4 linked regions of the Saccharomyces cerevisiae S288C genome follow. The main gene of each other region encodes a partner of the protein of the gene in region 3 in a complex. Each region holds a gene or a part of one and is shown on either strand. Other genes may lie near its edges. The genes, in order: POP8, POP5, POP7 and RPP1.

Region 1 (2,570 bases), 390 kb from region 3:
AATTCGAAGCAAGGTACAAATATAATTTAAGAAACCATAATGTTTTAGAGATGTTTGCCAAAAAGGATACGAATAAAGAATCTAATAAACAAAAATATTGTGTATCAAAAGTCATGAATACCAAAAAAAACAGCAACATCAAAAACAAATCGCTCGACTCATTTTTCCAGAAGGTAAATGGAGAAAAAGATGACAGGATTAAAGAATCCTCTGAAATTCCACAGCAAGCTAAAAAAAGAATCTCCACGCCAAAGTTGAATTTCAAGGATGTCTTTGGAAAGCCTCCCCTGTGCAGGCATGGGGAGGAATCCATGCTGAAAACATCGAAAACTTCGGCCAATCCAGGTAGAAAGTTCTGGATTTGCAAGAGATCTCGGGGTGATTCAAATAATACAGAATCATCTTGTGGGTTTTTTCAGTGGGTTTAAATATGAAAACGTCAGCTGATATTTTGGGAGAATAAAACACTTTCTTCTATGCCCAAGTTTTTTTAAATAATAAACTGATATTCTATATACATTTACAGTCTTGTTCTTCTTCTTCCATTACTTTTTTCAGCCATAGGCGGTCATCGTCAGTAACCTCCAGAAGTCTCAAACTGGAAGATTCTTGTAGAATTGACACTGTTAATGGTGAACCGACGAGTTCATCAGTAGATATGTATGTACTGATGGACGAAGAAAATGTATCTTTATCCGCATGATTTACTCTGATGTAAGCCAGCTTATCGTCAACATGCAGGAATGAATATTCTACACCTTCACCAAAAATACCATAACTACGTTTCAATGCGTTATTTAACCATTGCCTCCATGTCATTTGATCAATAGCATGTGCATCGTCCACATCTTGATCGAATGAAGTACTATAAATATTAAAGTACGTTAGTAGTTTATTTCTCTTCGGTAGTTGAGACTCAAAAAGTCAAAAATATACATACATTGATAACTTGAAATATTGCCATTCTCTAAAAGTCTTTTTCCCCATCACAACTGGCCATTTATCAAACTATTTATCTGCCTTTTCTTATTCTGATTATCCTATAAAGCTGAACAGTAAAGCTTGTAAAATTACGCGATGACTTATGTATTGAAGTTATGACGTTCTCGATGATCTTCAGTCAAACAACCACTTTCCCGTAACATATGATATATCCCACCCGCTTCCTTGTACGCATTATTACGGTTCTGCTTTGAAGATGGAGATTCAGTACTTGCAGTTATTTGAATTGCACCAGTACTGATCATGCCAAGTTTCTTTGGCTTGTGAAAGAACTTGATATTCTGTCTAAAGGATCTGCTCGTTTTTGTTTATGAAAAGTATATGGAATTATCTACTCTATGTAAAGTAATCTCTCTACTGGTTTTCGTTAGATGGCGCTGTAGAATCAGGCCTGTCGATGTTTTCCTCATTTCCTTCTGGTAATGTATCTGGAACATCGGTGGTCGTAGGTTGATCTGTATATGATGTATGCTCTTCTTCAAGTGTTGGAACATCATCTTCTTCGATTTCAAAATTACTACCCTGATCCATGAAACTGGATAAGTCATTGGCGTCTTCATCGTGGCCAGCAAGCAGGTCATCTGCTTCATCCAAAAATTGATCATGGATCAGGGATGAGTAGCTTGGACCTGTTCTGTTTCCAAACCTTCCTCTAATTTTGGAGATAGCATGCGCTATATTAGTTTTTGTGTGCTGTAAAAGAGACCCGATATTTGAGAAAACGTAAAATCCTGATTTCACAATGTTATTGACAACTCTGTCAGTATTATTGTTTTCTATTAAACCATCGTCACCTAGCCTAATTTCTCCAAACCTTGCAAATCCCCCATTTCTTCTGATACCTCTGTCATATACAAACCATGCGGCAAAGAAAATTATTAAAAGAATTGAAATGAAAATAAATGCAAAGGGACCGGCACTTACTGAGTACTTTTCCTTGAATTCTTTTTCTTTTCCTGGGCAAGCATGTGGTGATGAGGGAGCATCCAATTTCAGGCCACCCTCACAGGTTGATAGAGGGATCTTTCTGTAGCCTGACGATTCAAAATATTCGATTAAATCTGGCTCTTTTTTACAAACGTCTGCAGCATTTGCTGGGCTTAGTCCTTTGACTAATTTACAAGTACCATCGTTAGCTTTGTAAAAGTTGTAATCACACTCGAAATCTTGTCTTGTACAAGAACAGTTTTTGATATTTCTTGAAAATTCAGAAAGTGGAATATTCCCAATAAAACAATTTTCATCGGTTTTACGTAAAAACTCGGTTTGGTGACCAAATAGGCAATTGCTTTTGGAACCCAGAGGAGAGTATTTATAATCTGCGCTTTCCTTACCAGTGATGTCGAAATCACATTGTCTTTCGAAGATGTTTCTAAAATCAATTGTGTACGTTCTAAATGAGCTGCCTCCAATATCTGCTGCCTCTCCAAACAGCAAAAATCTCAAAGCAGAATCCCTGGGAACAGTGGTTATATCCTTTACTAAAACCTTATCAGCGCAGAATTTATAATCTTTCCATGTTTTACCAAAATCGGTAGAATAGGAAATAGAATCAGTTTCTGAGTTTT
Region 2 (2,905 bases), on a different chromosome or scaffold from region 3:
TGGAATTGAAGCGGCTTGCTATGGAACAGGAAATGCTTGCTAAAGAATCTAAATTGAAAGAATTGAGCCAACGAGCCAGATACCACAACGGGACTCCGCAGACGGGAGCAATAGTTAAGCCCAAAAAGCAAACGAGCACAGTGGCCAGACTAAAAGAGCTGGCGTACTCTCAAGGAAGAGACGTATCCGAAAAGATAATTCTGGGCGCAGCAAAGCGTTCAGAACAACCGGATCTGCAGTACGATTCAAGATTTTTCACAAGAGGGGCAAATGCCTCCGCCAAAAGGCATGAAGACCAGGTTTATGACAACCCACTGTTCGTCCAACAAGATATTGAAAGCATATACAAGACCAACTACGAAAAGCTGGACGAAGCGGTCAATGTTAAGAGTGAAGGTGCCAGTGGTTCTCACGGCCCCATTCAGTTTACTAAAGCTGAATCCGATGATAAATCGGATAACTATGGCGCCTAGGCCCAGGATGAGCACTAGGAAAACAAAGCATTCTTGTGCTTGAGTTGTATTATAGATAAAAAAATAAAACTACTGCATATACGTGTACATCTATATATTAATATATTCTAATCGTCCTCGTTTTCGTTTTCGTTTTCCCTTCCAATTTTCTTGAAATCATTGATAATAAAGTCATTATCGCTGAGGTGTGATGATTGACTACACTTGATTATGTTCAGAATTTTAGAATTCCTTCTCATAGCAAACTGCTCTATTTTCTTGATGGTCCCACTTACCTTGACGGGGTTCACGATCAGTCCATCGACGTCGCCAATTTTCGACATCAACATCAATGCCATGATAACAAGGTCGCAATCCTCTCGATGGCATCGGATTATCCCCGTAGACGTCTTATTTGAAAAGTATTTCAACTGCAAGAGAGAGTTACATTTTGCAGACCCATAGTCGCCCAGATTCAACGACAGCGAGCGTCGTATCTCTTGGAGTATCGACTTTATGGACACATCCGCAGGCGATGCTCTGTGATGCGAAAGCAAGATGTCTGCTTTCGACACAGATTCCTCAACGTTGGTGTCTGTAGGTGGGAATATAATTTCAAAAAGGATATATCTACTTTTTAAACGTACCATTTATCGACTTGTTTCTTTGTTGCACTAACTATTGCTATCACATTAATCTGATAGTGAAAAGTAAAATATTTTTCAAGAGCGCTAAGCAAGAACAAAACAAAACAAAGTCAGGAGGCAATTAAAGACAACAAGATAGAAAAACCAGAGTGGTTGCTGTGGTAGTACGTTGGGGGCTCGTTTGTCGAGGTTTTTAAGCAGGTTTGAATGGAAGAAGAAAAAAACGAGCACTTACTGGAGTTACTTGGTAAGAAAAGAGTAAGAGGGTTTGGTGGGTGATATATATTTTCATGCCACCAACTGCGAAAAGACAAGGCATGCATCCATGGCTGGTGAAGTGTTTGTTTAGGATATGAACTTCAACCCAATTCAGTTCCCTCACAAACATCGTCTTTCTTCCTTCACCCACAGGTGCAGGCGCCGCCATGGGTGAGCCTGAGACAGGGTCAACACATTAGATCGATTCAAAGTTACGACAGTCATACAGATAATGAAACGACATATTTGAACTGGTAAACGAGCTTGCCATTGGCTCTGAGTATGCCCAATGCTTCTTTAGTGAATAATGTTCACTAAAACTGTTGGTACATCCGTGCACCTCCGCTAGATGAGGTGCAGGGGTCTATCAAGAACCCCCTTCTTCCTAAGAGAACCGCTTATAAAAGTAGCCACATGGTTCATAACATCCCCGTTATGGCTCATACACTGGGCATCGATAAACAGGATATTCGCGCATCGTAACATTTATAGGGGAAACATGGGATTATATTCTCCTGAATCTGAAAAGTCTCAATTAAATATGAATTACATTGGTAAGGATGATTCGCAGTCCATTTTCAGACGTCTGAATCAGAATTTGAAAGCAAGTAACAACAATAACGATAGTAATAAAAACGGTTTAAACATGAGTGATTATAGCAATAATTCACCCTATGGGCGCTCGTACGACGTAAGAATTAACCAGAACTCACAAAATAATGGCAATGGATGCTTTTCTGGCAGCATTGACTCCTTGGTTGATGAACATATAATACCATCGCCACCTTTGTCGCCCAAGCTGGAGTCGAAAATTAGCCACAATGGCTCACCCCGCATGGCCTCTTCAGTGCTAGTGGGATCTACGCCTAAAGGCGCTGTAGAGAATGTGCTGTTCGTGAAGCCTGTATGGCCCAATGGGTTATCAAGAAAAAGGTACCGCTACGCCACCTACGGGTTTCTGTCTCAATACAAAATTTTCAGCAATTTGGCCCAACCATATTCTAAGAACATTATCAACCGGTACAACAATCTGGCCTATAATGCTAGACATAAATATTCCAAATACAATGATGATATGACTCCTCCTCCTCTGCCTTCCTCTTCTTCTAGATTACCTTCCCCGTTAGCATCTCCGAATTTGAATAGACAAGCAAGATATAATATGAGGAAACAGGCTCTCTACAATAACAATCTAGGAAAGTTTGAATCCGACACTGAATGGATACCACGGAAACGCAAGGTATACTCACCACAAAGAAGAACGATGACTACCAGTCCACATCGCGCCAAGAAGTTCTCACCCTCTGCATCCACTCCTCACACTAACATTGCATCCATTGAGGCGATTCATGATGCTCCTCAATATATACCAAACGTCTCATGGAAAAAATTACCAGATTACTCTCCGCCCTTATCTACGCTTCCTACAGACAGTAACAAGTCACTCAAGATCGAGTGGAAGGGGTCTCCAATGGACCTGTCCACAGACCCGCTGAGGAACGAGCTACACCCTGCTGAACTAGTTCTCGCTCAAACTCTAAGGTTACC
Region 3 (2,993 bases):
TATTCTTTCTTAAATGAACCACTAGTGCTTCATTATGTGCCCTTTATACATTACCTCTATATTCAATCTTCTATTATAAAAATGATAATTATTTCTACATAAGCCGTTATAAGAATTTAATGAAAATTATGAAATAACATACACAAAGTGCACATGATCTTATAAAGTTTTACTTGTCCTATGTTTCAAAGTATGAGAAAATTCTTCATATCATGATAATGTTAGGCAACCAACTATATATGCAGTTTAGAGGCTTAAAGCAATACTATTACAAATGGAAGAGGCGTCGTTTCCATTTTCTTGACCTGGTAAAACTTTCCAAAGAACTGTATTGTCCAATTTCTTTCCATGCTGAATCTGAATATATCCAATCAGTTCCGTCCCAATTATCATTGATCCAATGCCAATTATTGGGTAATTCTTCTTCACCAAGTCCATCTGGGGGCAAACAACTCCTCATGGTTAAAGTTCCATCAGTGTTTTTAATTTCTATGCAGTAGTTTTGTCTTTCGTACGGCAGTAATTTTGTACTCCAATTTTTATTTTGATACCACCTTCTTTGATTTTCGTATACTTCAATTTCTAGTATTTTAAGGTCTTCATTACCAAAGTTATCTTTTTGCTCATTAAGTAGAAGCTGTAGAATATGAATGTGGTCATCACCCTTCTTGTCCCGAAGTAGTTTAGGCAATACCTCTACCAGTGGCACCGTGATTGCACGTCCTTGAGATAAAGGAATAATTTGTTCCATCTTTAAGTGTTTTGGTAAGAAACTCGAAATTTTAAAACTTTCAATCCCCAAATAATAGAAATTCCTAACAGCAGTAAACCTCCAAAGTAGCCTTAAGGTAGCTTGAAAACTACTCGTATTGTATATCAAGCCGGTAATAATAAAAAATCTAGTATAAGTTCCCGGTGATATGTATCTCATGATAATAATTTGAAAAATTGTACCGAATAAGAATAATCTGCAAAACAACCTCTTGCCAGAACACTCCTTATTGACGCCATCAAATGAAAGCTTTAATTTTTTCCAAACATTCAGCTCGTTTCTCAGTACTTCCAGTTTATCCAACACAGACTCTAGTAGCACGACAATTTCATCCAATGTAGGAGGTTCCGTGTCTCTTAACGAAGCTATCAATGAAACAATATAATACATGAATGATAAGAATAGAAATGCCCCGCTTATAATGCCTAACCATAGTCTCAAAATCTTTGTAAATGGCAGAAAATGGCTAGCCTCTGTTTCAACGGGGATAAAAAAACTTATGGTCAGCCATATGCTCGTTAGATAAATGAATGTTAAACATTTATCGTCGGACAGCCACATTATATTCGCTAAGGCATTGTCGAATATTAGTAGTAGTGGATATGCGTGAAACAGAGTGCTGGAAATCATTGGAGGTGTAATTTGGATAAGAGAGGGCTTTTGCCCATGATTATGTATAAATTTCGCCTTAATTTTTTTATTTTCAGTTTGTACTTTGGTTTTAGAATTTGTGTCCATTTCTTTCCTTGAAATTAGCAAAATGATGTCCACTGAACTAAATTAAGATCAATGAAAGAAAAGAGAAAGTATGAAGTAGTTTCGAGTGATTGCACCTTCTTCATCAATTCTGTTTACCCTTGCAGTTGGTGTTCCAGTAATTCTTGGAAATAAGCATAAAAGGGTATTTGTTTCGGGGATAATTTCTTTACTTCCCCACCAGGCTGTTGAATTGAATATGAAAATGGTATGACAACAATAATGTCTAAAATTCCCAAATCAATTTGGTAAAAATCTGTCCAGCTCAATATGGTTGAATAATCATGAGAAGTACATCAATAGTCTTCTCATGTCATTTCGAAAAAATGTTTTTTCTTCATTTTTTTCCTGCGATTGTTTGACCATTTGTTTAATTTCACTCTCTGTAAAGAGCTACTTAACTATTCAGAAATAAGCAATAAGATTGACGGTCAAAGAAGAAAAGAGAACTCTGCACCCAGGATGGCACTCAAAAAGAATACACACAACAAATCTACCAAACGAGTAACGAAACACCCATCTTTGAAAACTCTAACGCATAAGCAAATACACACAACAATTTTCGTTAAGTCTACAACACCATACGTTAGTGCACTGAAAAGAATAAATAAGTTTCTCGATAGCGTTCATAAGCAAGGATCATCCTATGTTGCGGTTTTGGGTATGGGTAAAGCTGTAGAAAAGACACTGGCATTAGGTTGTCATTTTCAAGATCAGAAGAACAAGAAAATAGAGGTTTACACTAAAACTATAGAAGTTCTTGATGAAGTAATAACTGAAGGCCAAGCTGATATCGACATGGAAAGTGATGTTGAAGATGACGATAAAGAAACCCAACTAAAGAAAAGGGCTGTAAGCGGTGTAGAATTGCGTATTTATGTTTAATATGTCATACTTTTAGCGCTCATTGTTATTGTATACTATTTATAGCTAACAGTTTATTATTAGATTTCCTCTAATAAGCGTTATACCAGTGTAGTAAGTTTATCACTTCAGCTATGTGTCATTTTTTTTTTTTTTTTTTGAGGCCTTATATGAAAATAAGCTTTGAAGAAAGTGATACTGGAATTATTCAAACCAAGAAAAGTTTTTAGAATTACAAGAATACCGTAGCACTTGAAGGAAAGAGGACAGCATATCCACTTGATAAACATGGTATCAGAGGATAAGATTGAGCAATGGAAAGCCACAAAAGTCATTGGTATAATTGGTCTGGGTGATATGGGCCTATTATACGCTAATAAATTTACAGATGCTGGATGGGGTGTTATATGTTGTGATAGGGAAGAATATTATGATGAACTGAAAGAAAAATATGCCTCAGCTAAATTCGAACTGGTGAAAAATGGTCATTTGGTATCCAGGCAAAGCGACTATATTATCTATAGTGTTGAAGCATCCAATATTAGTAAGATCGTCGCAACGTATGGACCATCTTCTAAGGTTGGAACAATTGTTGGGGGTC
Region 4 (2,967 bases), on a different chromosome or scaffold from region 3:
AGAAAGGCTTATCGTGCCATTCAGCTTAATACAAATATATTAAAAAAACAAGATACTTTATACTCACCTTTGTATGTTACGATCGATAGGAGAAATCGATAATATACGTATACGATAAAGTCTGTACAATATGACTGCACCACACAGAAGTACTATTCATATTCTTGGGTTGGGTGCCATGGGTACCGTTTTGGCAGTTGACCTTTTAAGATTTACCAATGCCCTAGTTGTGCCCTTATTTAGATCACAAGAAAGACTTGCACAATTTCAGAAGACAAATGGGAACAACATTTCGATTCGCAAACTTTATTTGGAAGGCTCGCCAATATTTTCTTATCCAGTGGAGAAATGCGAATGCCCTGAAACTTTCTCTAAAAAACCTATTGACAACTTAGTCGTCACTACAAAGACTTACCAAACCAAAGAAGCACTAGCTCCTTATTTGCCTTATATTAATAAAAATACAAACTTAATTTTGATTCAGAATGGACTGGGCGTTTTAGAACTATTGAGAGAAGAAATCTTTACAGATTCAAAAAACAGACCACATTTATTTCAGGGTGTCATTTCTCATGGCGTTTATCAGGATAAAGCAGGAGTTTTCAATCATGCTGGGTGGGCTGGTATGAAAATTGCCAAATTGCCTTGGACTGAGGAAGAAATGATTCAAAAAAAATCCGTAGTCGAGGACGATGCAGCCAATAACTCATTAGTAAAATTATTAACAGAACCAAAATTTGCCAAGGAATTTGGAATAGAACATTCCACTTATCAAGAAATGCTCTTTGGTCAATTATTTAAATTTTTGGTTAATGCATGCATGAATCCAGTTACGGCTATTCTAGATTGTGTCAATGGTGAGATGAAGGCCAGTTGCGGTCCAGTTTTCACATCTATTATTGACGAGTGTTTACAAATATTGAGAGTTGCTTATAGGCCATTGTTTCAATACCACGAAAAATACAGCGGTAATGAAGAATACCCAGAAATGGATGTCAATGCAGTACTGACAACCGATAACATGGTCTCCGAAGTCACTAGAATTGGCTGTGACATCAATTCTAGGAACAGTAGTTCAATGAGACAAGACACTTTGTTCTTAAGAGACATTGAAATTGAGTATATCAATGGCTATGTCGTCAAATTGGCTGATAACTTAAATCTAGACCCAAACTGCTGCAAGGTTAATAAAACTATCGGAGAATTGGCCACTATGAGATTAGCATTGAACAGGTCGAGAAGTATCAATGGTGACTGGAGAAAGGACTGAAAATGCGCGGATATCAGCCAGAACATATACATTTATAAATACTGATATATATACACTCTTAATGCTTTATTCGAGCGAACCTTAACAGTCTGAAGGCAGATTAATTTGTCAAGTGCCTCTCTTTTGTTACTACTACCAGAAAACATGAAAAATGTATGTGCGATGCCCAGAATTTTACCTCGCATAAATGAAAAAATTTCATTTTACCAGTAGAAAATACTTAACCTAAACAGACACAAAAAACAAAAGTGAAAGCATTATAGAACCGAGAATGCTGGTAGATTTGAATGTACCGTGGCCACAGAACAGCTATGCAGACAAAGTTACTTCTCAGGCGGTCAACAATTTAATAAAAACGTTATCCACATTGCATATGTTGGGATATACACACATCGCCATAAATTTTACAGTAAACCACAGCGAGAAATTCCCCAACGATGTTAAGCTGTTAAATCCTATCGATATCAAGAGAAGGTTTGGAGAATTGATGGATCGAACAGGGCTAAAATTATACAGCAGGATCACGCTAATTATCGACGATCCATCGAAGGGACAGTCTCTTTCCAAGATAAGCCAGGCCTTTGATATTGTAGCAGCATTGCCAATCAGTGAAAAGGGCCTTACTTTATCAACTACCAATCTGGATATTGACTTGTTGACCTTTCAGTACGGGTCGCGCCTGCCTACTTTCCTTAAGCATAAAAGCATATGCAGCTGTGTGAACAGAGGAGTAAAACTTGAAATTGTTTATGGCTATGCTTTGCGTGACGTACAAGCTCGGAGGCAGTTCGTATCCAATGTAAGAAGCGTCATCAGGAGTTCGAGGTCCAGAGGCATTGTTATCGGCAGTGGTGCCATGTCACCACTTGAGTGCCGCAACATATTAGGAGTAACAAGTCTAATCAAGAATTTAGGTCTTCCGAGCGATAGGTGTTCGAAGGCCATGGGAGACCTAGCTTCACTCGTCCTCCTAAATGGCCGCTTAAGGAATAAGAGCCACAAACAGACCATTGTTACCGGTGGTGGTAGCGGAAACGGCGATGACGTGGTCAACGATGTTCAAGGCATCGACGACGTCCAGACCATCAAGGTAGTGAAAAGGAGTATGGATGCTGAACAATTAGGCCATGCTTCCAAAAGACACAAGCCTTAAAACGATACGCTAACCTATAACATATAATGTATAAATGATAATTAAATACGTACCCGGGTAGTAGACATCGCTATTATCATCACAATCCACGAATCGCGACGCGAATTCGCGAAAAGACAACAACAATAAAGGAAAAAAAAAACAAAGAAATTTTTCGACGATTTCCATAGAGAAGGAAAACAACGAATAGACAAAAAAATTTGGGGATCCAAGGCATATTCTGTTACATTGTACCTGTAGGATTTACTGAGAGCTGAAACCATTGAAAACTATTCTGCAATTAATTATCTTCGTACGGACTATCACTACTTTTTTTTAAGAAAGACTTATTTCTATTGTTTATTGTTTATAATTCACTCTGAATACTCGCTTATTAATTGTGTGATAAATTCTAAAGGATGACTGAAGGAAAGAGGCTGCAACAGATGGAGCTTCCTCAAATGAAATCCATTTGGATTGACGAGGATCAGGAAATGGAAAAATTGTATGGATTCCAAGTAAGGCAACGATTCATGAATGGACCTAGTACGGATTCCGATGAAGA

What was found.
Region 1: POP7 (region 3) and POP8 share a complex: the UniProt entries of both Saccharomyces cerevisiae proteins name them as parts of the nuclear RNase P and RNase MRP complex.
Region 2: POP7 (region 3) and POP5 share a complex: the UniProt entries of both Saccharomyces cerevisiae proteins name them as parts of the nuclear RNase P and RNase MRP complex.
Region 4: POP7 (region 3) and RPP1 share a complex: the UniProt entries of both Saccharomyces cerevisiae proteins name them as parts of the nuclear RNase P and RNase MRP complex.

The regions. Positions count from the first base shown.
Region 1 is NC_001134.8:185,488-188,057, forward strand, and holds POP8 (ribonuclease P), read right to left. Parts: upstream 988-2,570; coding exon 941-987; intron 866-940; coding exon 511-865; downstream 1-510. Other genes in the region: DNA-(apurinic or apyrimidinic site) lyase APN2, read left to right, coding at 1-428; PEP1 (type I sorting receptor), read right to left, coding at 1,357-2,570. UniProt on the Saccharomyces cerevisiae protein: Component of ribonuclease P, a protein complex that generates mature tRNA molecules by cleaving their 5'-ends. Also a component of RNase MRP, which cleaves pre-rRNA sequences.
Region 2 is NC_001133.9:80,903-83,807, reverse strand, and holds POP5 (RNA-binding protein POP5), read right to left. Parts: upstream 1,103-2,905; coding exon 581-1,102; downstream 1-580. Other genes in the region: mRNA splicing protein PRP45, read left to right, coding at 1-473; FUN19 (Fun19p), read left to right, coding at 1,857-2,905. UniProt on the Saccharomyces cerevisiae protein: Component of ribonuclease P, a protein complex that generates mature tRNA molecules by cleaving their 5'-ends. Also a component of RNase MRP, which cleaves pre-rRNA sequences.
Region 3 is NC_001134.8:570,888-573,880, reverse strand, and holds POP7 (ribonuclease P/MRP protein subunit POP7), read left to right. Parts: upstream 1-1,990; coding exon 1,991-2,413; downstream 2,414-2,993. Other genes in the region: PEX32 (Pex32p), read right to left, coding at 269-1,510; TYR1 (prephenate dehydrogenase (NADP(+))), read left to right, coding at 2,681-2,993. UniProt on the Saccharomyces cerevisiae protein: Component of ribonuclease P, a protein complex that generates mature tRNA molecules by cleaving their 5'-ends. Also a component of RNase MRP, which cleaves pre-rRNA sequences.
Region 4 is NC_001140.6:222,333-225,299, reverse strand, and holds RPP1 (RNA-binding RNA processing protein RPP1), read left to right. Parts: upstream 1-1,541; coding exon 1,542-2,423; downstream 2,424-2,967. Other genes in the region: 2-dehydropantoate 2-reductase PAN5, read left to right, coding at 131-1,270; GIC1 (Gic1p), read left to right, coding at 2,822-2,967. UniProt on the Saccharomyces cerevisiae protein: Component of ribonuclease P, a protein complex that generates mature tRNA molecules by cleaving their 5'-ends. Also a component of RNase MRP, which cleaves pre-rRNA sequences.